Coturnix japonica: one gene and its partner. The main gene of each other region encodes a partner of the protein of the gene in region 2 in a complex. Links are inferred from orthologs where the notes say so. Each region holds a gene or a part of one and is shown on either strand. Other genes may lie near its edges.

Region 1 (16,072 bases), on a different chromosome or scaffold from region 2:
CAGCTTCCCTCCTCCACTGGAAGGCAAAGAGGCCATTCTGGAAGGGTACTGAGGGCATGAACTGAACCTAAGGAGTTGAGTTAGATTGTGCCGGTGAAGCAGATGGGAGGTATGCAGCCCTTACCTGCAGGCACAGCCTTGCTACTGTCCTCACTTGCTGTCCGGCCCGGTTCAGAGGGGGCTGTAGGCTGTGGCAGGGGCGGTGGAGGAGGCACAACAGTTGGCATAACAGGAGGAGGTGGGGGAGGAGGCGGCGGGGGAGGTGGCAAGAGCCCAGGATCCTGAAGGTCTGAAAGATAAAAGAAGTTGCATCTGAACAATCTCAGAGAATATCAATCTTAGAGCTTTGGCTGAGAGTGTCACAAGCCTCAGCAGCAACTCATACAAGTCCCTCAGCATGCACCATGCACTCTCACCCTGTGCAGCATCTCTTACAGCAGATATGACCAAGGCAGGGGCTGAGATTCACTGTGTTCCCCAGCTCCATTCCACTGGGCCTGTCCAGCTCACCCAAGGGATTCTTACCTTGATGCTCTGAGTCCAGTCCCTCCCTGCACAGTGTTCCTTGGCTTCTGCAGTCACCTGAGGCAAGAGGCCCAGAGTCTGGCCAGCACCTGAGCAGGCTGCAGCTTTGACTCAGACCCAAAAGCACCCTTCTGACCTCTCCACTAAGGAACTTTCTGCCTTGTTCCACCTTCTTCCAGCGAACCCCTCCCACTTCATCCTTCACAGGGTCCTTGGAATGGTGACTGGAAATACCTGCTTGTGAAGGCTCTGTTGACTCAGTGCTAAAAGTCGGCAGCTCTGGAATAGCACTGCTTGGAGCAGATGGTGCGATGCCAGGGCCGAGGTCAGCGCTGTACATGAGATCTGCAGCAATGCCAGGCAGGTCTGGCAGGTAAGATGGCACATCGATCTCAGGGACCTGGCCCAGATCTGGCACATAGAAGTAATTTTCAGCTACCTAAAAGAAACAAAAGGACAGTGCTGTGAAGGCACTCCATTTCCTTGCAGCAAGCAGGGGCACTGCAGAGAATAGCGTGGATGACAGCCAAGGCTGGGCTCTCAGGTAGGCTTTGCTACTGTGGCTGGCCCTCAGCTGGCCATACAACTCTATGCTCTTGTTTTCTAAACACAATCTCCAGTCTGACCCAACAAGCTCCCAGCTTCCTTTCCCCAGCCCCAAACCACACATTCAACCATACACCAATAAAGCCCTAGGTACAGTCACTACAGGGTGTTTGTTACAAGGTCAGTCAGGTGGGGGCAGTATAGACTGATGCCCTGCCTGCCCCATGTCACAACAAACATCACACCCCTTTGTTCAGGCTGGTTGGCCTTTCCATTTTCATTAGCAAGTGGCCCTTTCCAGCAGGAACAATAGGGCATGAGCCTTCCCTCAGGCACCTTCCAGCAGTGGCACCTCACAGCCACTCCTCTACTGGAATTAGCACAAGGGAGGTAGATGATCAAGTGATGGAGTCTCCAAAGTCCTCTATAACTTTGAGGTCCAGCAGCAAGGTGAATCATATCACATGACACTTCTCACACCATCCAGCAAATGACTGAGAGACACCTGCCAAGTTTAAGGGCTTTGTCTCATCCATTAAGCACAGATCAGGACTGCAGGCACAAAAATAGGCAAGGTCTTTTTGATAAGCAAGTTACCCTGCAGCCACGGGGGGTGGGGCATTGCCCTACTGTTCTCCACCCTACAAAAGCTTTTTCCTCCTCTAGGAAAGCTAAGTACATACCCTTGACTTGGAAGCAACTACATCCCCTCGGCTACATCTCACCTGCCGGTCCAGCTGTCCCCTTTCAGTGATGGAGAGAGGAGCATCGAAAAGCTTCTCTTCTGTCTCTGTTTCCAGAGCCACATGGGTCTTGGTCACTGCTCCTGCTAGTGGATCCAAGAAAACATACTTCTTGTACCTAGGGCAGAAGGCAAACATTTCAGCGAGGCCACCTCAACAGTGTTAGCCAAGAAGGACTTGAAGGAGAGCTCCCTAGTCACTCAAGCAGGTGGAACAAGAAAAAGAGGGGAAATAATCAGTGGGAACAAAGAGGAGGTCCAGCAGCGGAAAGCTCAGCTAGGACTTAAAGTTCTTCAGTGTGGGCAGAAGGATGAGGTGAAGTGAGATGGGAAAGGGAAGTGCAGCGTGTGTGGGCAATGGAGACATTAAAGCAGTGACAGTGGTCAAATGTTGTTGTGAGGAGCCATCAGGAGAAAGTACCTAAGCAGGCAAATGGGGCAGAGTATAAGTGACAACAGCTCTCAAGGCTGGTGAGAACTTACAGGATGATGACAGGAAAAAAACAAGTGTTAAGCTGGGTTGAAGGCAGGTGAGTGGAGGATTCCACCCATGGAGCAGAGTGAGTGAGAAAGGCTTGCTAGCTACCAAACACTGTCCTGTCAGGAGTCTGCTAAGCAAGATCCCTAGGAAAGCAAGCAGCACCGCTGCCCTGGGGCAGGGATAGCTCCTCTGGGCACAAGCAGAGACAGGTGGCAAGCATGGTACTGAGCCAGCTCACAGGTTCTCCGTGGTGTTGAAGAGCAACAGGGAGCTGAGGGAGCTGATGTTCCTTGGGAGGCTGCCAAGACCTTCTTCTGCATCATCTTCCTGGTGAATTTTGGTGTTCACACACACAGGGAAGTACTTGAGCTTCTCCTGCAAGAAGACAGATAATAGGCAGCAAAACACTACAAAAAAACAAAGCCAGTGGGCTCTCCCCAGCCACCAAAACCTGCACTAATGGTTCCACTGCCAAGTCTGGGAATTCTACTTCCCCCTCTCTACCTCCCTTTGAGCAAGAAAGCACATAGACAAAACTGAAACCCCAGGTGACGAATCTCATCCGTTCAGGCCCATAAAATATGTCTTTGGTGCCACAGATGGGTGATACTGTTGGTGTTTCCAGTGGCAAGAATCCATCAAAATAAAACAGCCATTTGGGTTCTTATAACCAGAGGGAGGGACTGAGCATCTCTGTCTGAACAAGGCGTTTGCTATAGTGTCTCCAGCTGGGAGATACCAGACATTTTCATGCAAGCAGAGCCCCCAGACATCTCTATTACCTCCCCTCTGCTGCCTTCACCTGATGTTTTAGGAGGGGTGATCCCACTGGTGGGGTACGCAGAGAAGGCAAAGGAAGGTTAGGGAAAAATTGCATGTCTTCACTAGGAGAGAGATCAGGAGTGCGCAGGGTGGAACGTGCCAGATGGTTTTGCAAAGCCTGAGGGATTTGCAGGAGTTTTCAACTCTAATGAACTGAAATCTCCTCTCTCTTGGTTCTAAAACTTCATGCATAATATATAGAACTCCCTTTAGAAAAGCACTTATTACATCTGAACTGCTTGACTTTTACAGAGCACAGGAATTGCCATCCCAGATCAGAGCGGCGTTTCAGCTAGCATGACAGCACCCGCTGCCAGATGCTCTGGGGGATGATGTTCAGTGACCACAACATACTGCTGCATGCACGGCACTACAGGGAGGAAAGGAATTTGTCCCTGAACCCAGAGAAAGCCTATGAAACAGCAAACTCTCCTCCTAGACCCCTCCTCACATCCTTCCTCAGCACCTTGTGACTCATTCTTTGGTCAACCTGGGACAAGCAGCAGCCTCTCAGCTCCATGCTGATACAGCTTCCAACGCTGCCCACAGCCTTTTAATGCCTTGCTACTTCCAGCATTACCAGATGTTCTTTATACTTGCAGGGGGGAATTGGAGACCATTGCTGGTTCAGTTTTAAGACCTCAAGACCTCAGCTCAGCAACATAAGCAGTTTCCACTAATGGAAATTTCAGGTTTGAATTCAGTAGTCAGAAATCCTGCGAAATGGCTTAGTCACAGCTCAGCAAACCCACCACAAGTTTGTACGGTGCTTTGAGTCTACAAACGCTGTGGGAAAAGACTTGGGAGGTGCCTCCAAATAACAGATTCCAACTTGTGAAAAATACACTGAAACGAACACCTTGTGTTCCTGCAGCAGCACATAGGCAAAAATACACGAGTCAATTGTTATTTAGAGACTCTCGAAGCAGAGATTCAGAAACAAAGGTTCTTTTTTGATCATTAATATTCATTTTGCAACACTTGATTTGTTAAGCATGAGGGAGCACTGATGTTCCTGCAGAACTGTTCACACACGCTTAGCCCTCGCGTCAAATACATATATATATTTTACTTCTCTTTTTGTTGATTTCAATAAGCATTGGAAGACTGTGTGTCACTTCAAGGGTGGAGCGAGAAACCAACCATTACCTACATTTACTTGTAAGTCTAATCTAAGGCAGTTATAAAAGCACCAAGTGTACTGCTCTGAAATGTAAATCTTTTTAATTTAAATGCCACCAAAGTGCAAGCCTTAAAATATCCACATCTGTTTTGATATTCAGATCAGGTACCTGTCATCAATAATATCCTGCAACTGTGAACTCCGCAGGTTGGCATATCACTTAAGAATGAGTGCTCTTAAAGTGACATGAAGACTGTAAGCCAAAGGTTCATCAGCCTCAATGTACTGAAGTCCTGGAGTGTGCTTGAATGCTCCAACACCTGGACATGGTGATTTGGCACCTAGCAGGATGGTGTATGGTGCACTTCCAGACACTTTTTTCCCTCAGAGCCTATGGTTAACAATACATAAGTCATGCTGGTTCTGAGGTTTAATTAACACGCAATCTTATGATGGGAATTGGGGTGATGCATCAGAAACCCCTTCCCTCTCATGCTAATGGAGGCTAGCTGGAAAAGCAGTTAAAAGTCAGGAAATGTTTGACTCCTCTTATGGTGGACTCAGCAGAGCATACAGGGCAGCTCAGGTTGCTGACACTGCTGAAGTCTAATGAGGTATCTCCAGTAACCTGCAAGTTTCAGTCGGACCTCTCCCCAGTCCCAGTGGAGAACCCTGCAGCACTCAGACATATCCCACCCATAAAGGCAGTGTCCAGCACCTTAGAAGCCCTAAAAGGCTGCAGCCAGCTCACATTTAACTGCGCCTAGATGCTAACGCAGCCATATACACAGTGAATCAGGCTTAACATAAGGACCCTATCTACATCTGTCGGTGCTTATGTTACCAACCTATGCCTCTGTCCTCTCACCAGCCGAGTCTTCATTTGCTTGTGGAATGGAGGGCAAAAGAGAATTTCCCAGAAGGGAAGTGTTTTTAAAACAAAATTGTAGAACCACATACAGTTCGCCTCAGAGCACCAACCCTGAGCACTCAGCACAGGCTGCCATTACTTACCCTCAAAATGACAGGAGCAGAGCTTGCTTTCCTGGTGGGGTGTGAGTGTGCGTGTGTGTGTGTGTGTGTGTGTGTGTGAAATTAGCAAAGGCCACCGTGACTGCTCCCAGCAAAGAGGCCCTCATTAGAAGTGAAAACAGGCAGTGAGCCTCCGCTGAAAGCCCTGAATAATTGAGGAGGGTATAAATGCAAACATTAGACTTCTCTCTGTCACATTTCATTACTGCAAGGCACATCAGGCTCATGCTCAGCTGTAGATGAGAAGGCCCTGTCCCCCTGGATGGTGTTTGAACCACGCTGAGCCCCACTGCACAGCAGCTGCCGCTCTTGCAGGTCCTTCTATCTTTCATAAGCTGTCAGCACAGCACTGTCCTACCCCACAAAAGAGTTATGGTTGACAAAGCTGTGGGCCCTCCCAAAAAAGCAATAGCTCAACGGGAGAACTGAGTCACAGGAGGAGGGAAGAAGCACAAACATCCAATGAGGTCTGCAAACGCCCCTGTGGTGATGGCAGCCTTGATCATGGAGAGCATAGCTCCAAAATGGAACAGAGATCACCTTAGTGAGGGGAAGGGTGGCACCGCAGGTGAGTGACATAGGCCACAAAGAAGATCATGCAGAACTTACCAGCAGGCAAGTCAAATGGGCACACCATTTGCTCTATGTGGGACATTGCCTCTACCAGTTAATTCTCTTTTCAGTCTTCCCCCTATGTGAGGGTCTGTACCAGTCCCTCCCTTGTCAATGCTGGTGTACCTCTGCTCTCTGTAGGCTGTCTGATGGGATGGGGGCATCAGACAGCCAGCACAACAGCAGTTGGCTTGCCCCAGCTGGCTGACAAGTCCCATGCAGCTGTGCCCTTGGATACTGCCAGGCTTTGAAGGATGCACAAACCCTGCCCAAGCGTGCCAGATGTCCATTCGGCCAGCAGCCCCACTTCCCGGCCTGGCTGAAATATTCATAACTCCCTCGCTGTACAGAGACCTCAACTCCATTAAAACTCAGGAAGGTTTAACGTGATAAAACATTCAGTGGCAGGTTTATTTTTGGGTCAAGGCATACAAGGATGTGGAAGCAAGTCTCTTAAGGGGAAGAAAGCAGGGAAGCTGACAGCTTGAACCCTGACCTGCCAGGACGAGCACATCTGCTACTCCTGGCACAGTACAGATGCAGTAACCTTTACAGATACCAACCTGTCCTCTCTTCTTTCCAATCCAGGCAAGGAGACTTTGAACCAAATTGTTGGGGAGTTCCTTCACATCAAACCTATCACCTCTCAGACCATCCTAAGACGCATCTCCCTGTCACTCAGTACACAAACAAGGAACTTGACACCACCACCTCCTTAAACATTACCTACTGCAGACAACAGCTGTTCAGCTCCCCACCTACACCTAAAACTCTGGTCTACTTCATCAAGGAGACTTCTCTTTTCTTGTTCATCTCATGGTCTTTTCTCCTCCTCCTTACCTGCAAGGATTTTTCATCCAGCATTCGGTGCTTGCTCTGGATCTTGTGTCTTGGCCATTTCTGTTTAGCTGGGTCTTCTGCACCAGCAAAAATTGAACAGTACTCCTGCAGCCGTTCGGGGGCAGGATACTTGGCACTGGAAAATACCTGAGGAGAGACAAGGAGGGATTTCAAAATCCCAGCAACTAAGCAACCTTCTGCTGTAGAAACACATGGAGTAGATTAAGGCACATGATCTGTGATGCCCGTGGGAATGGAGAGCCTTGGACTCAACAGGCTCCTAAGGGCTATTTCTACAGAAACCATCATGAGGGCCATCAGTTTTGAAAGCTGAAATGCCAAACATTCACTCTCTCTGTAAGCAACAGGAGGCAGAAAGGCTTTCAAAGTGTAGGAAGGGAACTGGAAACACTGCATTAAATACAGCAGGAATGGTTAAAGAAGACTTCCACTAGTTTTACACAGATAAACATGCATTGGAGGGGAGGCTGTCTATCTATTCAAATAATGCAAGATTGTAACATGAAATGAGAGGGCGTTGGGCATAGGGAAGCACAAAGCTGTTTCATTTCAAAGGTAGTAGCTAAGGCAACAACTTATTTAGGCCTCATATGGCCAGGAGCTGGGTAGTCCGTGGGTTGAAGAATCATTAACTGGCCTTGTCAAAATGGGGATTCTCATCACAGCTCCTGCTCAGCAGCAACGCACAGAGAGGTGGATGGGCAGCTGTTTTTCTGCAGAGGTAAAGATAGAAGACAGAAAGAAGGAGGGAAGACAGCTTTCATTGGAGTCACTACCTTAATAGCCTTCTTGCTGCCCTTGATCTTCTCAATCTTTGCTTGTGCGAGCGTGACTCTCTCACTGATTGCCTGAAGCTGTGCCCGGCTGGTTTCCACCCGCTGAGAGATCCTAAGGAACAAGGACATTGCTAAAGGGTAAGAATCCAAAGCCAGAGATTTTTTGGCAAGAGCCAGTGGCCACACCAAAGGGAAGGATATGAATCTCAGTGGTCAGGGTTGTCTCACAAGGCAAGATAGCACTGGGTCAGATACTTGTCTTGGTCCCATTAAGAGTTTCTCACGTGCTCCAACATGAAACAAAACAACTCTGTGCAACATTCTCCTTGCTGAGGCACAGAACATAAGATGGAGAACTGAGTGCAGAAACCCCCCTGCCTCATTGCAGATACAGCTAACAAGAAAGCCACATGCAGTTATCAATTGATAACAAGCTTCTCAGAAGAGACCCTCCTCCTCCATACATAACTACTAGGTGCAGCCCCACTTCAAGCTCAAACGCTAACAACTGTTCTGAAACTTCATCCCTTCAGCAAAACCAGCACAGAATATTTTTGTGGCCACAGTCTTTCAGGAGACATAGTACTTCATTTCAGCATTGTTTTGTAGTAACGAGTTCCAGCGGACCATTTTGTGCCTGTAAAAATCAATCTTGGTCTTTTCTTTAAACTCCATCCCCAAGTCCCTCTTTGCACTTAAGCAGAGAACTCCTATGCTCTGTTTTCCTTCTGTCTGTATAATCCCTTTCAGTAACAAAGGTAACATTAACACTTTCCAACTCTACCAAAGCTGTCTTTTCACCTGGTGCAAAAATGGACTCCACTAAAGGCTCCTGCTGGCTGCAGCAAGAGAGCAGCCAGCTCAACCCCTTTCATTCAGAAAGACCCCCATTTCTTTCTCTAGCCAGATTTAAGTGTTTCTACTTGCTTATAACCATGCACCCCTCTTTCTGAAGGCATGAAAACCCTCGTTCACAGGGCAGGAGAGCAAACAGCCCGTTCTACTCTATTTGGAGTGGGAGATGAGCAAAACTGAACCTCATGAGATCCCACCTCTCAGTAGAATCCTCCACTTCCCTATCCTTTTATTTTAAATACAGCCTAACAGCTTGTATTTTGTACCAACACTAAATGCAAATCTGTTCATGGTTTCCTTCCCACTCCCTCCCGCCGACTCAGCGGAGGAAGTCCACATCGTTTATATACTTGATAGTTCTCAGAGTAGCTTATGTTGTTCCTTTCAGCATGCATTTCCTAGCACCTGTCTGCAGCAAATTCCATGTGTCACAAGGCTGTCCCATTGCCTTGTTTTGTTAAAGCACGAGACGCTTCCCGAGGAACTAAATCTTTTCTAACTGTTCTTTCCAGCCAATTTTCCCACCTCACAGTTGACTTCCTTTGCAGATGTTTCATAATCGTATTGATTGACCTCATTCCCAGAGCTGCTCCTGGGGGCACCTGCCTATTTTTACTTCCTCCAAAGATGAAAAAAACTAGTCATTTATTTCTGCTTTGCCTCTCTCCCTCAAATCAATGATGTCATTTTCCCTCTCACCTGTGAGTAGACCTCTGTCCTAAAAGAACTTGGCAAAGCCTTCCAAAAGCTCAAAGTTAAGAGAAGGTGTCAAACACTTTTAGTCATCACTCTGCTGACTCCCAGACCCAGGTCTCAGAGGCCAATGAGGCAAACCTTTCTCTTCCAGAAGGAAATCTTAAGCAAAGCCTGAAAACCAGTACCCATTCTCCATCCTATTACTCCAGAATGCAAGCAGGCCAAACGAGTTGGCAATTTCTTCTCTTGCTACCTATGTACACACCCCAGGTACCACCTCTTCCTCTCCATTCCGAAGAAACTCAACTACAGCTTCATCCTTCCCTTCTACTCCTAGATAATTAAGAGTCACCCACAAAATGGCACTACAGGACTGCCTACTCCATGCACACGGCGAGGAAGCTGTCCAGTGCTGCCCAGGGAGGCTGTGGATGCCCCATCCTTGGAGGTGTTCAAGACCAGGTTGGACGGGGCCCTGGGCAACCTGATCTAGTAAAGGTGTATGTTTGGTGGCCCTGCCAGACAAGGGGGGTTGGAACTACATGATCCTTGAGGTCCCTTCCAACCCGGGTCATTCTGTGATTCTGAGATTCAGTGCCAGCTCAGGTGTTTCAAGTCACTTTGTCTGCCCCCAGAAGCACCCTGTGATCTGTGATTTCTCCTATGATCCCTGCTCTAGGATTTGCCAGTCTGACATTAAGAGATCTGCCAAAAACCTTCACCTGAGATTCACCTTCACAGAACGCAAGGCAGAAGGAATACACACCAGAACTGCTTTATTTCTTGCTGACCAAGGTAACTATCAGAAAATGATTAAACCCTCTCAATCCAACTGATCAATGACATTCCATCACAAACTCCAAGGAATGTATGACTGCTACGTGTGCACAGTTCAAGTTACAGTCAAAGTGGTGTTTGTAAAGACAAGAAACACGAAGGGCTGGAGGACTGTGTACCCAAGGATTTACAGGGCAAAGCATACGAAGCAGTGCTGCATTGAGACTTCAGTCCCCATGCTGAAAGGATTGAGTTACTCAGTGGTGTTCATATGAAACACAATGGCAGGATGGGCAGGAAGGGTGAATATTAATAAAATGGTTTGTTACTGCCCCTCAGAATCCTGTTCCCAGGCAGCTGAGAACACAACCACCATCTGAAGCTACCCTGTGCCCATCTTATTAGTCACTGCTGTGTTACTCTGCTCTCGGTACTCTTTTCTGCTTCAGGAGCTCCCGCAGCTAGATTCAACTTGACTTCAGAGCTGCAGAGAAGCAGGAGGTGCACAAGGACAGCCCTCCCCTGCACTGGGGACAAGGGAAAAGGGGGCCCGAAGGAGAAAGAATATATTCACCTGCCTTCAAAACCCGGGCACAGAGCCAAGGCAACCTTCCCATCCCAGTGCTTTTCTTTGGGGAAGTAATACATGTGGCAGATTAAATCTATCTAGTGGATTATCTCTTAATCCACAGAGACTTTTATTTTTATCTATGCAGATATTAAAGCCAATCTTTCGGCTGCTTTGACTCAAGCTTTCACATCCTCTGTCCCTCTAAAATCTTTATACTGTCAAGCCCCACTCACCCCTCACCTTTAGCTGAGGGATCCTCTTCTCCTAGAACCTCACCTTGCTGCCTCACGTTCTTCCCCATTTTAGAGGAGACTCACTCCAAACATCCACAGCAGTTCTCAGGAATATCTCCCCCCTCCTCACCACTGCCCTGACAGGCTGTGCATCTTCCAGCCCATCTGCAGCCATGGAGTTTATCATTTCCTATTATCTCCTTATAACTTCTCTGATAATCCTCATATTCAGGCAGCTACAGAGAAATCTCCTCTGCTTCATCTGTGCCCGCTCAGAGGGGAAAGATTATTGTTCTCTTACTCCCACGGGAAAACCACATGAAGCATTCGGGATTTGGCATGAAAGACACAAGATGCTTCCTGTCAATTACCCGCTGTGGTATTAACCACATATTCCTCTTAGTCTCCAAGCAGTCCATAGGGCCAAGCTAAAACTGAGATTTTTATCATCTATATTTGCTTGGGATCAGACAGCATCAGAAAAAATAAAATCAGAGCAGATTTGAAGGTAGGCTGACAGGTTACCAGAAAAATGACTGAACAAAGCAGCTTGAGGAAAGAGAACTGAGCTGGAGAGAAGTATCACAGCAGAAAGAGGCCCTTTGCTGTCCATGTTCAGCACACACATCACCCAAAAGTGACAGGGACAACAAAACTTAGGACACAGGAGAGAGAAGAAGTGAACTCCACATCAAGGTGAATGAGAAAGGTGAGCCAGCAGAGCCTGGGAGCAAACCTCTTTGGAATACCAAAGAACTTCAATTTCATGTCTGAAGTACAAAAGTAAGCAATCAACCAAGGAGAAAGAACATTACAGAGCAGAATGAGAAACGAAGTTGCACAGGAGGATAAGGCAGCCAAAGTATAAAATGACTTTTTTGTTGTTGTTGTTGTTCCTTAAATGAGGACTGATCACATCACGGCAAGTCAGATTTCTGGTCTCCTCCCAGCCTGGGCTCCATTCCTGACAGATAGCAGGGAGATGCTGGGCACTGTTATTCTAAACCTCTAGGTACACACTGTAAATTTGTTCTATAAACCCTTGGCTTTTTTCCCAAAATTCAAGCTGCTTTTTACATTTATTTATTTTTTTCTTACAAAGTGTAGCTTTATTAAATTCCTCCCTTGAATCACAAGGGACGGTGTTTATGGTTCTTGAAATGTAATACATCCCCAGACTCTACAAGGAGCTTGGTGCTGAAACAGGGTAACGGTGAAGAATAACACTGTTGGCTGCCACGTATCCAAATTACTGGTAGGAAAACCAGCAGGGTGCCACTGCTGACCAATGATATACCACCAGACCTCTAGGAAAAGGTTCAATGGGTTTCCAAAAGGCTGCTCCCCAGGTTGCTGAAGTGATCAACTAATACCTCTGGTACCTGTAACTAAGGGCTTAGGTGCAGAGTCCACTAAGGCCGAAACAAGCCAAGAGAGCTAGGCTAGAATACCACAGTGCATCCCGGCTGGCTAACAAAGAATCATGTTTAATGAGGCACTAGAGTGTCTTTTACAAACAGCCTTAGTGCAACAACCAGCACAGCCAGAAACGGACTGTGAGAAGCCAGAGTCCCCTTCTCACCACTCCCACAAAATGACTCTACCCAGCAGCCAACAACACTGCAGAATTGAGATGGTGAGGGCAAGCGAAAAGCTGCTAAAATGTTCACTGTTTACAGCAATCCAGGGAAGCATTCAAAGCCATCTCACAATGACAGTTTACCTTAAAAGTCGGGAAGGCAAAAAGCAAAAACGTATGCTTTTACAGAAAGCCAAACACGTCCAGCCACTCAAAGAAAGATCAACTTGTTTGCTTTCTGCTCTTCTCTCTCCTTCATATTTAAGCAGTTTTTAAAGTCTTATTTCATGTCTGAGTAAGTGTAATCAGAAGCTGTCATCATACATCGTCTCTGGCAGAAAGAAATCCCAAGTGAGACAGTGCAATCAATGTTCCTTCCTCCATTAAGGGTTTGGGTATTATACTAATTAATGTTTATCACACTTTGATTGCTCCTTAAGCCTGATTTGCAGGTGTTCCAGCATTCGCATATTGCCCCATTCCCGCAATGCCAAACAGTTTTGCAGCCTGGAAGGTGATGAAGGTTGTCAGGTTACCCTCAGCATGATCTGCTCTTCAGAGGTCATGTTCTCATCCAAAAGGATCCTTCTCAAGGTGAAGCAAGAACTTCATTCACTGGGAATTAAGTTTACGCAGAAATGGAAAGTGTTTTAAATGATGACCTGTCACTGCAATACATGCTCCTCTGCAGCGCTGTTCTCCCAAGAAAAGCCTTCACAGGAAACTTCGGAGTGGAATCCAGGTGACCCTGTGGTGAACAGTCTTCAATCTGGCACCATATCTGATTCTACACAGACAACTCTTTCATTGTGCCCTTTACTCTTAATCAAGATCTCACTCCACATTTCCTGTCAGGAGACGTCAGAGAAGACAGATCACTCCAGACTAAAATATCTGATGCGTGCTTTTTCCCAAGTGGGGTTGTGAGAGAAAAATGCACGAGACACCAGACCAAATTGGCTGAAGCTTCAGAACTTCACCTGAATGTGGTAATAGGAGCCTAGCACTTGAAAGCCCATGTCAGCTTCCCCACCCCCTGTCTCACTTGGAACCAGAGAAGCCTTGCTACAACACAGTGATGAAGTAGGGAAGCAAGACTGACATTTGCAGAGTCTTCCTCACAACGGGAAAGCAAGCCCACATCATCTTAAGCATACAGAACAAGATGTCAGGCTGGTTTGTAGCAGATGACCTGTCCTCCAGCAGCCCATGGGCACCATGTGCAGGCATGGAGGAGCCCATGGTACAGCAGCAAATGAGGCTTGAAGGAGCTGCAGTCCATGGAGAGGCCTGAAGGAGAAGCCTGGGCTGGTCAGAGTGCAGGAAGCAGGGGTGGAGAGTGACCAAGACAGAACAGCAGAAACTAAGCATTATGGACTGACCACAGCCACTCACTGCTTTTGTTCAACAATGATCCTCCTCACCATCCTGTGACAACCAATGCTGACTCAAGATTCCCCTCCAAATGGTCTTACAAAGAAAATAAGCCCAACCACGTTAGAATTGCTTTCTCAGAAATAGTTACCAGGTCTTTGCTAAGAAACCTCACTGCTAATTATACCTTTTCCCTTTCTCAACTTGGCCTTCCAATTTTAACTTCTCGTAACATATCCCTCTCTTTCAAAAAGGGTTTCTTTCTTGTAAAAGAAACATTTATTTCCTTATTTATTGCCAATGTTGCTTTTCATTTCAAAATATTTGCACTTCACAAACAGGGTCTGATTCATGTTACTTCTTCATTTTCCTATAATCAATTGCAGTCACACTCAAATCTCAAAAGGCACCTTCCACGATACGCCCATCAACAAGCTAATTTCAGCCTAAGTGCTCCACAAAATAAGAGTAACTTTTTATCACGTTTTTCATCCAACACCTTTCCTGAGTGATTAAAGTACTTATAAGACATTTCTGGTTACTTTTCCCCAAAAAACTTTGGGCCCCATCAAGAAGGCTTTTCGTAACTGAACTGAAAAGCAGAACCTTTCTACTTCGACAGCTGCTCTATCATTTCAGTGAAGATCTCTGTGGCACGTCAGTCATCAGACATCACCTTGAGAACATTTCTAGACACATGATTTCATCTTCCTCAGCATCCTTTTAAATCCATCTTCCCTAAGTGGTGACATGCAAACAGTCATTAACAATGGACATACTGCTTTTGCAGTAATACCAGAACAAATTTGTACAGCATAATTTGCAATCCTCCCTCTCCACCACAAAACTTCCAGGACTGTAAATTCAAAAATTCTGTTAGTCTACTCTATTTGTAAAATATTAACACAATAAATATTCTCACGGACCAATGCCTTCAGCAGCAGCTAATCCCCTGCAGACGAAGTAAGCATGAAGCATAATGAAAGGTATGATTTTGGTGATGTTTTGTTATTTCATTTCCTAAACTGTATAAAGAACAAACAAAGTCCTGCCTAGTGCTTGGTTCCCCAACAGGAGTTAGAAGCTTCTCAGACTGCCTCTCAAAAAAGTCACATAGAAAAGTCCTGAGTTTGGTCTAAAACCAAGATGCTACTTTCAAAAGCGCTGTTGTTGAAGTGGAGCCAGAGAAATCTAGTCACTGGGCCAAAGCAACAGATAGAACAAGAATTTTTTAGTTGGTCTTGATGCTGAGTTACTGAAATGACAGGTATGCTACGTACATTTAATTGATTACCAGAGAAGCTATTATTGCTGCACTAATGCTAGGCTGAAGTGCAACAGCATTACCTTCTTTTCTTACAAGTAATGTCCTGTCATGCCTCTTAGGCCCCTCAAGCATTTCTTACTTTCAGTCTTGATGAAAAATTAAATTCCTCAAAGTAAAATAAAACCATGTTTTTGCCTTTTAAAATATTTATTAATCCAGAATAAGGATCATATTCGTGAATAAATTAAGAATGGCATTGAACTCAGAAGACACTACATTATCCTCCTGGGGTTTCTCTTTAACACACATTACTTCTAAATCCTGCATTCTCTCCCCTCCCTAATGGCAGAGAACAGTAGATTCCCTCAATAAATTGATTATTTGGAGGATTAACATTAACAAGTTCTTATTTTTCCTCTATTATCATCTGCAAATTGACCTGCTGCCTCCAAAAGCACTGTTCTGTCTCAACCATCAACTGCATTTACACCCAAACTCTAACCTACCCCATTCTGAAAAAGGCCAATGACAGAACCACAGCTAGTCAAAAAGAAGGACTGCAGAAAGAGAATTTAATACGCCAGTCAAGTGTGAAGAACAGACCTTTGGCACTGCTGTATCCTCCCCCAACTCTCTCCACAGTGCACACAGTACCATCTATAGAGGTGGGAGTCAGTAAAACACATTTCAAGCCTCTTGGTGTTATTTTCCAGACAGTTTTCTCCACACTAGACCCCCGATGGAAGTCATGCCTGTAAAACAAAGTGACTTGTTTGCAACTCTTCCTTCAGGGCTGACTGAATAGACAAAACTCATCCATAGGAAGAGAAAATGATTCCAACACATGTGTGAGAGTCCGGCATCTGAAGCTGGTTGAGAAGGTAGAGCTATCACTTTGTATAAGAAAAGAACAACTTAACAATTGTGTCAGGAAGAGTGGGAGAATCAGATGATAGCGCCATACCTGCAGGCTACAAAACAAGGAAAAAGGGAAAGAAATTTTGTATTTATTTATTTATTTTTTTGGTGTGAAGCACACACTACCTTGTTAAAATTTATTCTTCCTTGGTTATTTCTAGAGGAGAATAATAGTTACAGACATTTGAGGCAGTAGCGGGAAGAATCATCAGATCATAGAATGGCCTGGGTTGAAAAGGACCACAATGATCATCTGGTTTCAATCCCCTGCTATGTGCAGGG
Region 2 (16,072 bases):
CTGCACACAAAACAAACCCCAAAGCACATGTTTATAAAGCAGCCTATTCCTGGGGGCAGAACGCGTTATGTATTTTCATAAGATTTTCTTCTGGGCCTGTTCTGCCTGTCCACACTAAAATCAAAAACCAACGTCACGACTGTATTTCTCTCACAGCAAATGGCTTAGGGACATTAACAAAGGCATAGGGTGGAATGGCAAAGGCAGAAGTTTGGATGTTGTTTCCTGCACCACTTTATTTTGTTTTACTAAGTCGTGGTTTTAGCTAGGATAGAATCATAGAGATAGAATCAGGTTGGAAAAGACCTTAAAGATCATTGAGTCCATCCTCAACCTGACCATAGTACCCTAACTAACAACCCCCCACTCAATCATATCTCTGAGAACCACATCCAAATGGTTTTTAAACACATCCAGGGATGGTGACTCAACCACCTCCCTGGGGAGCCTATTCTGGCGCTTAATAACCCCTTCTGTAAGGAAGTTTTTCCTGATATCCAACCTAAACTTACCCTGGAACAACTTGAGGCCATTTCCCCTCATCTTGTCTCCTGTCACCAGTGAGAAGAGACCAGCCCTGCTCTCACTGTAAGCACCTTTCAGATAGTCAATTTTCCTTCTAGTAGCTGCCACGTAGTAGCTGTGTATTCAGGATGAGAATAATATTGATAGCACCGATGTTTTTGTTGCTGCAGAGCAGTGCTTACACTGAGCCAAGGATGTTTCAGCTTCTCACGCTGCCCTGCAGGAAGGAGCTGGGGGGCACAAGTAGCTGAGAAGGGACAGGGCCAAGGGGACATCCTACACCATACCGCACTATGCTGAACCACACAGCTAATGGGGAGCTGGCAGATGGTTTCACATAGGCTTTCATTAGATTCAGACAGTGGACAACCCGTACAGTACCTAAATTTTTGCTGTACTGAAGTTTTGGAAACTGTGAGATCAGAAACAGGAAGTTGACAGTGGGAAAATACGGCAGGCGTTTTGTTGTGATGTAGATCTGAGGAGAGAGGAAAATAAAAAGGACATACGTTTCCCATAACATGTTCCCCCTCAATTAACAACATGAGAGAAAAGCAAATTACATCAAGCCCTCAAATGTCAGCCTGACCTTATTTAATGGATTGTGAATGCCAGCTGCTTCCAGGTAAGCTGTGATTTCATACAGAAGAGTGTTGTCTTCTTTAGGATAAGGCAGTGATGGATTTTGGTAATGTGCTTCTATATCAGCCAGTATGGCTCTGCAAGAGAAAGCAGTTAATTGCATTAAACACTTACTTGAACTATGCGGAAATAAACCTCACACGATGACACATCTCATTCATACACAACTCTTTATGCACACAAAACCTGCCAATGGCTACAAGCAAGACTAAACAACCTTGCTTTTAAACCTTTCTACAAGGACAGTTTTGTTTAGAAATTAACACTGCTTTCATTGTTCCTATTTATCATCCAGTGTATGTTGTGCATAACATGCTGGAGGGACCCGGACAGCCTTTGAGATGCACAAACCTCATGAAGTTCAACACAGCCACATGCAAGTCCTGTACCTGGGTTGGAGCAATCCTAAGCCCAAATACAAACTGGGTGAAGAACGGACTGAGAGCAGCCCTAATGAGAAGGATTTAGTGGTGTTGTCAGTGAGAAACGCAATGTGAGCCAGCCATGTGTGCTTGCAGCCCAAGGGGCCAATTGTGTTCTGGGCTGCATCAAAAGCATTGCCATCAGAGCAAGAGAGGTGACTCCCAAGAGCAGAGCAGAGGGGCAGACACCACCTATAGCACTGCATCCAGCTCTGGATGGACATGGATCTGTTGGACGAAGCCCAGAGGAAGGCCACAAGGATGATCCGAGAGCTGAGGCACCTCTCCTGTCTATGAGGAGAGGCTGAGGGACATGGGGTTGTTAACCCTGGTCAAGAGAAGGCTCCAGGGAGATCATACAGCAGCTTTCCAGTACCTAAAGACGTATAGAGCATTATGCTAAAAAAAGGTAGATTATTAGATTAGAAATTAGGAAGAAATTCTTTACACAGAGGGTGGTGAGGTACTAAAACTGACTGCCCAGAGAAGTTGTGTATGTCCCAACCCTGGAAGTATCTAGTCCAGTCAGACTCCCTATTTTGCCAAAATACAGATCTCAAGAGCTGTTTAGCTGACAACAATCCAAATAACTACAGTGCAGTAATGATACATGCAGCCCTTCAACACGTTTTACTTCTTACTTATTGAGATTTTCCAACGCAGCAGCCAAGTGCTTGGAGTCAAACCTGCAGGAATAATTTAATTCATTGGTAATCTGCCGTCTTAAGATCTGCATCTGACCAACCTGTTTGTGCAAAAAAGAGACAATGAAGTGTTATATTTTACTGAATGCAGTGGGGGAAGAAGAAATACAAACTAAGGGAAAACTGCAAGAGTAACAACATACAGTTTATAGTAAAATAGATCACACAAAGTCCTCGTTACACCTCATTTCTCTTCTTCCCCTGCATAACCAAAAGCTTAGAGTGGATCCGATGCATCAGTGAACAGTGTCAGCCTACCTTCATTATGGAGTCTAAATACGCAGTCCAGATCTTCTGAGTTTTTGCAATTGCTGCAGAGTAAACCTTGTTGGAATTTGCTGAGAAGAAAAAAACAAAAACAAAAAAAATGAAGAGGTAAAAGCAAGCGTCCCGAGACAACAGCTTCCTTTCATCTTAACCAGAAAGCACTCACCTATAATTCCTTTGAGAGGGCTGACAGCATTCATAAGAGCTTTTAATGTATCCTGGACTGTCCTGTCTCGTAGTATGTTTTTCTGAAACATACTGAGGAAATTCTAAATAAAAGAAAGACAAGTAAAACCCTCACATGTGTGCTATGCTTGATGGCACAACAGCATTTTCAGCATTGCTCTTTTGCCACTGGACAAGAAGCAAGGAAAGTATTTCCACAAATGAAGAGTTCTGGACTCCTGTAGTCAGTCCACTTGCTTTGCTGAATTACACTCATCAGTGTTAGGACAATTACACCTCTTCAATGCATAAACTCACTGCAGACCATTTGGTGTTCAACTGCCAAGGAGGAACTCAGTATTTCATTTCAAGGAGGAATCAGTATTTTATTTGATTCAAAATCTTTAACTAGGACTAGTTCTCTCAAAGGAAGACTTGCATCACAGGCACTGCAAAGAACTGACACTGTATTTATAGCAAAATGGACTCAAACAGTCCAATCTTCTTGTTGATATCTAGACAGGAAAATAAAACCTGACCCGAGGTCAAATTTGAGCATGCACAGGCAGAAACTGATGCTTGAGAGGCACTGTGTAACACATAACCTACACTCACCAGCTCCATTTACTCTAGAGCAACAGGTCTTCCACCCACAACTGACATTCTACCTTTGGGGTTGAAATCACAAAAGTCAAATTGACTTCCAAAAGTCAACAGAACTCATATTTCACTAGCAAAGGTACTCAGCAATGAAAGCAATGCAATCTTGAGAAACTAAAGTACAAGAAATACCTGCAGCTCCTTTACAATCATGAAACACAGCAGCCTGTCTAAACCGTTGAGACCAAAGGTACCCAAAGTATCTTGTATCTCTGAGAAGAGGCGACTACTGGTTACTTCCTGATGAGTTTTGACATCATACCAGGTGTTCATTTGGTCAATATAACATGTGATCCTAAGGAAGAGTTGAAAAAATAACATATTTCAGAACAAGCTGCAGACAGGTTTTGTGATAACCTGAGTAACACGGGTTCCCACATTGTTTTGCTTCTATTACTAATATCACAACTTTTCTACTCTACTATTTAAAAGGTAGAAGGCAGATCAGGTAAATTTTAGAAACGTTTTAGATAAATAGGACGATGTTTCAGTCAAATAAAAACCATTTGTTGCATATTTCCCTTGAATACAGTGGAATTGAACTAATTTAATGCAAGCAGCTTTAATACAGCTTTAATACAGCTTGCGCTGCACAGTACTTACTTAGGGTCTGTGATCCTCAGGATTTCTCTACAAAGACGACCAATAAATGTTACAGATTCATCTACAGGTGTGAATTTTGGTATAGGAATATGAGTAGACTGGTACATGCTTTGCCAGTCCTGAATCTGAAAAATAAGTTTTAAGAGTATTTTACATTTTTACTTTGCTCCCAAAATTGTTTTAAGACCAAGAGTACAACACAGAACAACACAGTAGGTCATACACAGCAGAACACTATAAAGAGAAGAATGAATCTTATGACAAAGGGCAAGCAAATTGTAAGAGTGAAGACTGAGAAAATGACTTCCACCCCTAGCAGGAATTTAATCTACTTCTTTCTGTGGTAAACTGTCCGCTGTTCTGTTAGCTAAACAAAAATCTATTCACCCCTCTAGTTGTGAAATGCCATAAGATCTGGCAACTACAGCGTCTGTGCACAGATGGCGAACTACAGATATACAGGAGACTATTGTGATCCTGTACTGTATGTACATCATACTGCGCATGATGGACTACAATTGTTCTATCACTCAAACTTCAGCATCCCACTGTAAGAGCATTTATTGACTTTTGGTCTTGACTGGCACCTTTGTTCTTAAGAAGTTGTTGCACTCCTGTTCCACATTGTAGTTAATAATACGAGACACTTCCTCTTGCCAAATTTTTAAGCCATATATATTGACATAATCCTGGATATATTCAAACGATCGATGGAATCCATCCATTGTTGCTGCCATTTCTTTCAGTTTAGGCATCAGTTCACTTGGCTAAGGAGGGAAGAAGACAATAAAAGTAAAATGGTGAATAAATAGAATACAAAGAAGATATACAAGACTTCTAAATGCCTTTTTGACCCACGAGCTCCACACATTTCACTGTGCTCCAGCCAGAAGTAAAAAGACACTGGGAAATGTGACATAGGTTGTCTGACGTTTCAAGCGGTTCTTCTTAGAAACAGGAGGAAAAATATAACTTTTTCTGAAGGATTGAGTACTACTATTGATTGATCTACGAGAGAGATCTGACAATCTGGACAGGAACAAAAGGAGTCATAATCCTTACTCTGCTTGTTTCTTTTTGTGTTCTTTGCTTGGCATGTTGCTATGAATCACCACAAGGACTGAACTGTGAACTCACAATTCAAAGCACCCTTAGAGCAGAACAAAAATAGGTCTTCAAATTCTATGCACTCTTACTCGTCTATACATTATTTTTAACACAAAGCAAGGCATTTCAAACTACCCTTAAGAAGTTGAGAAATTTACCTTTTTATATGAAGGAAATCTATACAGAAAATTATTTCCTAGAAGGAAGTACAATAAAGAGAGTTGCCAGGAAAGCTGAGAAATAATCAAATTCAAAATCAAATAAAATCAAGCTGCTACACACCTTGGCTCGAGGATTGAAGATAAGTCCCCTGTGAAGAGCCAGAGCCACCCGTTTCACCAGCTCCTTCCTTATTCCATCCTCTAGTAATTGTTTTGGGTCCACCTAAGTAGAAGAAACATTTTTCTCTGAAAATCAGAAAATTATCAAAAATATGAAAGGATATTAGGTTTACCAAGAGCTACATTAAATACTGATTTTGTAATAGGAAAGCAGTGCTCACAGACACACTTTCCCACCAGCTGCTTGTCCAGATGATAAATACTTAAGGTACCTCTGTGAGATAATAAATGGTTCCTTTAAGTTGAATAATAAATGTTTGTTGTTCCCATATTCAGGGTTTGTTAATGATCCATTAAGAATGCTGTACAATCATAAAAACCAGAACATATTAAGAACTGTGTACTGCTTCAAGAATGGTTGCTTTTGGAGTCCTGAAAGATACAGGAAGAACAGTGGTTGCCAATGGAAGAAGCAGCTCTTCAGAAAAGTGGGAAAAAAGATATCAACTAAGGTTGATGAACCTTATTTACAAGGAGAACTGCAGCTCCTTAATGATCCTAAATAACACAGTTCTAATCTGCATGCCATGCCAACCACCTGTCTGAAGATCTGTATGCAAGCTCATATTTTCTTGGGTTTCCTTTCTTTTCTTTAAATCTTCTATCTAAGTCTTGCCTAATATGCAGAAGTATTTGTGCTCAAGTGCTAATTGTCACCAAGTGACTTTTTCTTACTGAAACAAAGGAACATTACCTTGATGATCCCAACTAACGTAGTTTTCATCATGAGGATACCCTCAGTGAAAATGGAAATCGCGTGGGTTAGCTTGGCAACCTTTAATAGAAAAAGAGGATAAAAAGTTATTCGAGTGATTTAACAGATACAAATAATTGCTCCAGAAAGTTACACATGTTTTCCAGTGGTAGCTTCCTGCTGCAGATCAATGTGATTTGCGCTGATGTACTTCCAATTTTACATCTTGTTCTAGTCTTATTGTGCAATAACAACCTTTCTTTTAATTGGATTGATATAGGTATGTTACCAGTAGGAGAGATCAGGCACTACTCAGAAGCTCTACAAAGATTATGGGAGACATGGCCTGCTGCATCATGTGTATAAAACATCAAATCAGTGTCTCTGAGCGGCCAAGGGGAGCAGCTTGAAGTTGTGATAAAACCTGCTGCTAGCAATGAATCCACCTCAGTATTTCCACTAACAAAATACTGCAGCACGTTCACTTAATTTTAAATTATTAGGTAGGCACCTTTATGCTCAGAGTTCAGAAAAGCCAGTATTTGCCTTTAAGACATCTACAATGTCAAACAGAGGCAATGCAGTTCTACAGAAGCCACAAGTGAGAAGCTTTATGCAAGACAAGTAGTTATTCCCCTCATTCCTTAAAATTAAAAGAATATATAGAATACTGACTACCCCATGTAATATGATTTGTAAGAATTCCCTGTTTTAACTGCACCTCGTATCGTGGTCCGAGCTGAGCATAATCTCGCAGCTTATCCTTATCAAGGCGTGTAGGCACTTCAATAATGTCGTGGGTCTGAAGCTTTATTATTTTGAGAAGAGAAGTAAACATGCTCTCCGGAATTATCTGTAGAACCTTTGTAAAAAGACAGACAAGACAAACAGTCACTACATTATACAAAAATATTAATAAATCAGAAGTTGTGGACAAATAAGCATAGAACGAGCTGACATCTCTTCAAATGCCTACCTTTCTTACATAGGAAACCAGCTCGCCAGAATAATACTGTGATACACTGAGAAGGTCAGGACTGTTTGCTTGATTGATACGGAGAAGCGGCAGGTCAAGAGCAGAAGCAAGCTAGGAACAAAGTGAACATTTTGACTTCATGTCTGCTTTCCTAATAAGAATTAAGTGACTCTACTCTTATGCCTGGGCTCTTTAGCTACAACTCAAATACTTCATTCTTCCTAAATAGCAGTGTTTTATTACAGTGTCAAGAAGTTCAGTATTCCACATTCCTCATTCTACCAGTTGCATGAGATATTTTTCCCTCTAATTTTACTCCCCTCTCCCTGTGCTATTTCCCATAGTTAACTCTACAGACAATATTTTTATTTGATGCCAGATCTTCATCATGACAGACAAACAGCACAAACCAACCTATCCTCAGTCTCCTCTGATACACATGCAGAAAACTCAACCTTTGGAAGTGATGTCTGCACCAAGTTACTGTAACGTATCGAGGCTGGATGATGAGACTATTTTGTCTAACAGCAGCGATGTTACTGCTTCTATAGAGAAACACACATTATTTGGTTTTATCTTTACAAAAACTAAACTTGAGTCAATTCAGTAATTTTATTCTAAAAATAAAGCTAGATACAGAAAATAGTGGTAAAAGTGATTTAAACTGTGACTTTATAGTCTTAAGGCCTATGTAACAAACAATGTCTTGCAGCATTAAAATACCTTCATATACCTTCATACTTACCTTTAGAAAAGTAGCTCTGAGTTTAGTTACCATAGAGGGACTGACTCTTATGCTTTCCTGCATAATAGATGTAAAGCTGAGTAGGAAACAAAGAAAACAAATCAGCTCCTTCCCCTGGAACTACTCATCTGTCATTAGCAACAGTGCAATCCAGAAACGCGTTGAGGGACTTGGTTCAGTGGGAGCTATTAGTAACAGGTGAAAGGTTGGACTGGATAATCTTTAAGGTCTTTTCCAACCTTGGTGATTCTATGATTCTATGACTTGGAAGAAATGCCTCCCGCTGGGATACCTGTCAATTAGTTGCCATGCGTAAGAAAGATCGCCAACTATCTGCATGGTGATCAAAACCTCTTCTTTAATGTTGATAGTTCGGATCATCTGATGTAGAAATTTGCGTGTGTCAGCCAGAAACTGGCAAACTTGTAGATTAGTTTCCAGCTGATGAAACTCTTGGACCTGTATTTACAAATAGAAAAGCACAATTTTTTCATACTGTATCCCTTCATTTACAATCACGAAGTCTATGGGCTATTCTGATGACTGTATATACAAAACCACAGAGATACACAGACTTCACTTATTGTTAAAATGAAGATCTGTTTTGTAAATTATCATTTATCTTAACATGCCTTTGCCATACCTCCTCCAGCGCCTGTATCAGCTGCACAGTTTTTCTGCCTGCTGCAGTGGAATCGTCATAGTTAAGAGACATTATTTGCTTGGAGATCTCTCTGAACCAAGCCTGAAGGTTTTCTAGGCAAGAACAAGAGAAAAATAAATCAAATATTTCCATGGGTGGTAAAGAAGTAATGATGCAGGGAACTTGCTGGGCAGTAACAGAAAAACCCCAAACAGTCCACTAGGATACTCCCAAAAAAAACAAAACCAAGAAGCCCTAATTGCTATACATAAAGGAGAGTATTTACAAAGTCTTCATCTCACTTTTTACACGGCCAGCCTTTCAATGCAGAGACTTTTAAAAGAGCAAACCCTCAGGTGAATATCATAAAACACAGTGAAACAATTACAGAAACAAACTGGCATTACAAAATCTGTACAAAGAAGTCCTTTAAATCATGAATTTACATTTACATCTTAATATTAGGAACCTAACCAAGGCTTACATACAGAATATACAGAGTAAACCTAAGCAACACAACACGTAAGAGACCTCAGTGGAATCTAAGGCACGTTCATCTTTTTTTTGTATTATCAGTATTATATGTATATCAGTATTATCTGTACCTTGGTACAGAAAAGACATGGAGGTGCTGGAGCAGATCCATAGAAGGGCAACAAGGCCTGTGAAAGGCTTGGAGAATATGCCCTGTGAGGAGAGGCTGAAGGAACTGGGGCTGTTTAGTCTGGGGAAAAGGAGGCTGAGGGGAGACCTTATTGCTCTCTTCCAGTATCTGAAAGGTGCTCACAGTGAGAGCGGGGTTAGTCTCTTCTCACTGTTGACAGGTGACAGGACAAGGGTAAATGTCCTCAAGATGTGCCAAGGCAAGGTTAGGTTGGTTATCAGGAAAAACTTCTTTATGGAAAGGGTTGTTAAGCACTGGAATAGGCTCTTCAGGGAGGTGGGTGTGTTTAAAAACCATCCGGATGGTTTTGGGACATGACTGAGTGCAGGGTTGTTAGTTAGGGTAGTATGGTCAGGTTGCAGTTGGACTTTATGATCTTGAAGGCCTTTCCCAATCCAAGCAATTCTGTGATTCTATGATTCTATTAACCTCATCTATTTTCTTTCAGTATTAGCTTAGAAATAAAAACTTTTTCCTTTCCTCCCCCATAGGTTCAGTTTTCTGTCATTACCATTTTTCTCAACTCTTGTGAGAGGCTTAACTCCTGAGAAGACATCAGCAAGCTCAGTCATCCTTTCAGATCCCTCCTTTTTGTAATTCTCCCATTTTGCTTGTTTTTCTGACAGCATTTGCTTGAACATCTATTGATAACAAAGCATTTGGTTTATGAAACTGGCAAAAAGACACACTAAAGAAAATGAAATGAAATAAAATACTGGAAACAGATAGAACTGACTTACAGGGAGAGCTGCATAACTTCAAGACCTGACCAGAATATAAATAATGAAATTAAAAGCACTGAGAAGTATGGTCAGTGAGATGACCATCCTGTGATAGAAATCAATTGCATATGTACACACACAGATATTGCTGGGTTTCAGCCAGTTATAGAATACTCTATATCTTTTTTTTAATTACAGATACTAGAAGAGACTGATCCAATGTAGATTTATACCTCACATAGTCATCAGCCTACACAGAGACGCTCTATCCAAAAAAGTATATAATCAAAGTTCAGCATAGTCTTCGATATTTGACCTATTAAAAGAATTAGCACTGCTTACCATCAGGATGTTCATGCAAAGTTCTCAATAAATACAAAGACACTCAGAAAGAATAAAAACTGCCAAGTACTGAGAAGACTGAAAAAGTCAGCAGTCATTTGCAGCTCTCTACAGAAAGCCCATGATTAAATGCAAATAATCCATTGCTTCTAACTATCCTGTGTAATAAATGTACTACTGCAGTAGCACGTTACCTCTTTCAGAATGAATTCAAACTGAGCTGTATCCAGGAGAAGCTGGAATAGAACCTTGGGATTGTACCTTGAGTCTGTTAGAATTTGATCCTTTATCTGGCGGAGACGTTTGTTATTTGGATCACAAGCTGAAAAAGGAAGGACAAGAGTATAGAATTTGGCCAAACTCTTCAATCTTTGTATATAAACTTGTATTTAATAGCTTGAAAGCAAAAACAATTTGGTCTCATAGATTCATCCCCACTTATCCTGCGTTTATATGGATTTTATCACCTTTGTATAGCCGTGCATTTAAACGGTAAAGGTTTATGGGTTGCTTTGGCTTCATTAAAACTCCTTTGCTGGCTTCTGCAAACCAAGAGTGAATTTAGCATTCCTTATTCAGAAGCCCATAGTTCAGCATTTCTTAAGACTTATAGAAAATTCACAGAGATGCAACACATCTCACATAAGGAAATACGTGCATGTTTATTTCAGATAATGATTTTGGGAGCATGATAACAAAATAACGGTTCAACAAGCCACTAAAAAGAGCAGGTGACATTTTGCTGACTGCACACAGTGAACTTGTCTCGGGACGTAAGATGAAGCATCAGTGCAGCAGGACAGCCAACTCTGAAATAACAGTCTGGCATGAGCTCTTACCTGTGTCTGCAGTGTGAAGCATCAGCCACCTGATTGCTACATTGCAGTCCCGCAGGCAGTTCAGCAGCTTGGGAATATTGTCCAGCACCAGCTCTTCCCTTAGACAGCCCTCTTTGAGAAACTGCTGCACCTGAGTGTGCACTCGCTCAGTGACTGCAGCGTACCTGTTCGCCTTAGAACATAAAACGTTTGCATCAATATAATTGCTGTCTCTCAAGGAATGCGCTATGTATAAAGTGGCTGAAGTTTCCAAGAACTTAATGGGGACAAAGTAAGAAAAGTGTTCTCATTCCCAAAACAAGCTTGGGACGCATTGTCTAAAACTATCTAGCTATTCTATTACTATCAATTCTAAAACAGCTACTTAGGACAGAACAAACGCTATAGTGAGCTTAAGATATGCCATTACTGAACAACACCGTGATGAGCACCAGCAACTATTCTGTCAAGTCACAACCTTGAAACTCTCACGAGGGAACTAAATACCACAAGAGGAAGTGAAACAAGCAATGCTAAGAGGACCAGAACTCCAGATTCCAAAGTATTTTTAACCTTCTTATAGATAATAAGTTACTCAAAGTATTCTACTGGAATAAAATCCAAGCAACTCCATACATGAGAAAAAATATAGATATTTGAAATGATTACACAGACTGAAATCTTACTAAAAATACTGAAATCTGGTTTATGTACCTGCTCTTTTACATTCGCAATGTCCAGTGTGTAGTTGAGGGCAGTTTTAGCAGCTTTGTAGGGCTCCCATGCTTCTGCTAGATTTACAGTGATTCCCATGTAAATGCTAATAACCTAGGCGGAAAACAAGCGTTAGAAAGTGATATGTTATAGGCACGAACAGCAGATGGCCTTATGAAAATAAAGACTAATTATACACCACACTACACCATTCAGACTGTGGCCAGTGGATTGCGGGAAGTGACCGCTCCTCTCTTGCCAGCCCTCTTGAGGTTCCATTTAGAGTAGTGTGTCTGTATTTGAGCCCGTTGGTACACAACAGGCGTGGACAAACTAGAATGAATTGAGTGGAAGGCCACAAGGATGGGACTCACTACGGAAGCAGAGGCTGAGGGAGCTGGGTTTACTTAACATAGAGAAAAGAAGGTTTAAGAGGTCTGACTGCAGGCTTCTACTGCTTAAATGGAAGTTACGGGTAAGACAAAGCCAGATGTGGATCAGAAGTACAGAGGAAAATGTAAAGGAGACACTATCAGAAGCTAGAACAATGTAGACTGGAAGGTCTTCTTTTCTATGAAGCACTTTACCATGATGGTATCAGAATACAGCTGATTTAAGTATTTACAACAGTAATTGTTATACTTAAAGAGCAGCAGTCCTCACTTATCCAGAAGGATTGACTCAGAGTGCCTCATTCTGAACCACGTAAGATTGCTCCAAAAAAAGAATCAGAAGAGATACACAGAGCACACTAGTTTGGTGGGGGAGGGGGTTGGAAAGCATACTGTAAAAATTAAGTACCTTGCTTCTATAACATAAAACCCAGAGAAAAAAGTTAAAACCAAATTATATCTTACCCAATTATCAGGAAAGTATTTATCCACTATCTCTCTCATTTTTGCTTGCTGTGTGTGAAGAATAGAAGCATCAAAATACAGTATCACATAGAGCATAGCAGCCTGAGTAGCCAGGGCAGTGCTGCGGTGTTCTGGTAATGGATATGCAGAAACCTGGGAACAGAGACCAAAATAAAACAGAATATAACATAACACAACATAAAGCACTTGCAAGTATCATGAAGCAGTTTGAAAAGTACTGTCTATCCATCAACACACATACAGCATATAGCACAGTACAAGATAAGGATATGCAGGTAAGCTGGACATGCTTATACATGCAGTGTATTTACCAGACATATTTTACAGAATATAGAAATTGACTGTGGAGACGTCTGCTAACTTTTACAGGTTACAATACTAACCCAATACTTGGCACTCAGTTTTAGATCCCTTTTCTCTCACAATAACTCACCTGGTTATAAATGTCATCTGACCGCAAGCGGCCAACAACCATGCTGATGAATGTTTCACTTATGGGTACCCTGCTGAAGTAACTCTCAGGGTAGTTTGGAGGTCTTTTAGCTCCAGGTTGGCTTGAGTATCCAGTGCTCCGAAGCAACTTACAGATATCATCCAAATTGGAATCCGCAGAGGATCGAGCAGCACTGTTTTACAAAAGGAAGGAATGAAAACTGAGCTGTGTAACCTCATCATTTCCTCCTTCCACTTCCCTTGTAGCAATGTTCATCCTCCAAGAGAAATGATCAGATCATAGAATTGCTGAGCTTGGAAGGAATCTTAAAGATCATCGATGTCCAACCTCCCTGCTGTGGGCAGAGCTGCCACCCACCAGTTCCAGCTGTCCAGAGCTCCATCCAACTTAGCTTTGATATTAAGGTCTGGGGGACATTTGCATGTTTACCCCATGAATAAAGTTCTCACCATACTAAACAAGAACACTGATATATGTTCACATTGAGATTCCAATATATACTGAGAAGTATAAATGCAAACGAAGTAGCATAGGCACACCATAGTCCATTTTCTAGTTAAGTTATGTGTGAAAGGATTTTCATTTAAAACCTTTAAGATTCTACCTGTCACAAAATGATGCTATCAGTCCACTCTGGAAATCTCATATTTGATCCAACTTATCTAGGACTGTAACTACAAGAAGTCTGACTTGCAGTGCATTTTCCATATAGATATTCAGAACTTCTCATCTGGGAAACTGTGTTACCTTCACAGCTCACATTCGTGGTGCTATAGCCGCAAGTCATAGCTTAAGTTGAAAGTTTGCCAGTGGACTTCAAGTCTCTAGCTCCAGCTTTGCAGTGAGACCCATAACAATAGCTAATGCAAGGAGCCCTGCTGAAAGCCAGTGAGTTCTGCAGAATTATCAGTCTATCTGAATGATCAAAGAAGTGCAAATATTCCCATTTATCTTAATGCAATAACTCAGTGAACTGGATAAACCATATTACATTCTTTCCGTGGTGACTACTTCTGAACACCAAAATGCATTACCTGTATCTGTAGTAGGAAACCAACATTCTTTCTCTGACTTCTCCTTCAATTTTCTGGTCAATGACCAGTAGCATGACTCCATACAGATAGAGTGCTTCGCACTGTGTGAGAAAAGCAAGAATGAAGGAACATCAAAAGACAAACAAGTGCTGACAAACTAACAGAATGTCAACTATTCAGTCAATACGATGTGAGAACAGCAGGCTGCAGACTTTGGGTTGTCCTCTTCAAAGCAAGCCACAGCATTACAGCGTTCTTGGTGAATTTTAATTGTTCTCTAGTTTTGCACTTATCTGTTCATTTTCTACTACTACAACATCTTTGAATACTTACTAAAAGTTGTTTTCCATCTTCATTAAGGAGGACTGTTTCTAATGTTTGCTGAATGTAAATTCCTTCATTGAGGTCATCTAAATATCTAGGAGCCATAAGAAAGAGTTGGTAATTGGCTACTTTACTCTCAAAATATGTCTCCCCAGAATTCAATTGACCAAATTCCTCTGAATGCCAACAGAGACAACAGAACACCTCCCACAGCAGTACAAGCAGCAGCAAAGTACAGAATGAGAGGCCACATGGAACTCCTAGTTAGAGCCAACCAGATGGGAAAATACTCATTTCAACATGGTCTATGTGAACTAGGCTCCATAAATTCCAGATAACATCCTCTTAATAACCATTTGAGAGGGTAACAGCCTGAGAACAAAGTACTGAGAAGGAAAAGCTCCTCCAAAGGGTAAAATACTGAAGAAATACCATATTTTCAAGTTATCCCAAAAATACCCCCAAGAAACATGTTAAATTTATATAAACTGCAATTTGAAAGGAGCTAGAAACAGAGAATGTTCATCTGGATGAACGGAGTATTTCTGCTTAGTAAAGGGCTTTCCAGTAAAATTCTGTATTACCATAAGACCAATATTTTCACACAAAATCAATAGCAAAAGCAAATCTTAGATATAAGGTTCTCTGGAATTCTTTCTTATGACATGAACTTTTCCTATTGCATCCACAGGCAGGTGTAGTAAATTTAAGGCAACTCCACTGAAGATTTAAGTTTAGGAAAATAACGACAAGGAAAGCAAAAGAGAAAAAAAACAACAAATCCAAACCCACCAGGATCCGGCACATTGTTTTGCAAACCACAAAAATCAAGACTTTAAGAAACTCCACATGCATTTACGCTACTATACCTGTTTAAGTCAACGATGTATTTATGTACACTCTGAAAAGCTAGATAAAATCTTGTCAGTATTTCAATGTTGTTCTCACGAAATTCTTCATCTAAATCAAGTAACTCTGGTTTCGCTTCCAGTTTGCCTTCACACGCCTCAGGCCCCTACAGAAAAGACACTTATGTTTAGAGATAATGTTTGACTGCATCCATACCGTTTTTCACTAGGACACAAAATACACAACTACCAGAGTGACAGTTACAACAGAACTAACCTTTCCTACTAAAACAAGAGCTTGCAGTTTTCCAAACTACTTTATGATTGAAAATATATTCCATTAAGAGGAGTTCTACACTTTTTTACAATGATTTTAGATACGATTTCTTCTATGTAAGCAATGGAAAAAGATGGTTAACACTTCGGGTAAGACTGATGTATCTGAAGCCATAGCGCAGTCACTCTGAAAAGCAGCAGTGCTGCTTTGCTTCCTTAACATTCAACAATCTTCTGCTTTCTATAATGGCATTTCTCACCAATCATACCTATCTGCTTTTATATTTTCAAGTAATTTGTGTAAACAAAAATAATTTAAAAAATATTCTAATCAAACACATCTAAAGGTATCTGTGAAATCATTTGTGCTTCAGGTTTTCAGCATCTGAGGCTCCCAGACAGTACCCAAAGTTTACAGCTCTTATTGGTTCTCCTCCTCTCCAATACTGCTGTACCACTAACATGTATTTAAACGTACAAACCAGCTAAAGTCAAACTCCACTG

The links.
Region 1: WASHC5 (region 2) and WASHC1 share a complex: the UniProt entries of both Homo sapiens proteins name them as parts of the WASH core complex. The link is inferred for Coturnix japonica from reciprocal best matches to the Homo sapiens genes WASHC5 and WASHC1.

Annotation. Positions count from the first base shown.
Region 1 is NC_029516.1:52,625,530-52,641,601, reverse strand, and holds part of WASHC1 (WASH complex subunit 1), read right to left. Parts: intron 7,633-16,072; coding exon 7,521-7,632; intron 6,871-7,520; coding exon 6,724-6,870; intron 2,670-6,723; coding exon 2,533-2,669; intron 1,933-2,532; coding exon 1,797-1,932; intron 965-1,796; coding exon 760-964; intron 290-759; coding exon 125-289; intron 1-124. UniProt on the Homo sapiens protein: Acts as a component of the WASH core complex that functions as a nucleation-promoting factor (NPF) at the surface of endosomes, where it recruits and activates the Arp2/3 complex to induce actin polymerization, playing a key role in the fission of tubules that serve as transport intermediates during endosome sorting.
Region 2 is NC_029517.1:125,014,443-125,030,514, forward strand, and holds part of WASHC5 (WASH complex subunit 5), read right to left. Parts: intron 15,460-16,072; coding exon 15,314-15,459; intron 14,539-15,313; coding exon 14,454-14,538; intron 14,222-14,453; coding exon 14,121-14,221; intron 13,259-14,120; coding exon 13,066-13,258; intron 12,765-13,065; coding exon 12,612-12,764; intron 11,869-12,611; coding exon 11,755-11,868; intron 11,234-11,754; coding exon 11,062-11,233; intron 10,545-11,061; coding exon 10,417-10,544; intron 9,800-10,416; coding exon 9,670-9,799; intron 8,608-9,669; coding exon 8,495-8,607; intron 8,311-8,494; coding exon 8,144-8,310; intron 7,928-8,143; coding exon 7,852-7,927; intron 7,218-7,851; coding exon 7,107-7,217; intron 6,993-7,106; coding exon 6,852-6,992; intron 6,212-6,851; coding exon 6,131-6,211; intron 5,480-6,130; coding exon 5,378-5,479; intron 4,756-5,377; coding exon 4,576-4,755; intron 4,114-4,575; coding exon 3,989-4,113; intron 3,681-3,988; coding exon 3,518-3,680; intron 2,830-3,517; coding exon 2,727-2,829; and 9 more. UniProt on the Homo sapiens protein: Acts as a component of the WASH core complex that functions as a nucleation-promoting factor (NPF) at the surface of endosomes, where it recruits and activates the Arp2/3 complex to induce actin polymerization, playing a key role in the fission of tubules that serve as transport intermediates during endosome sorting.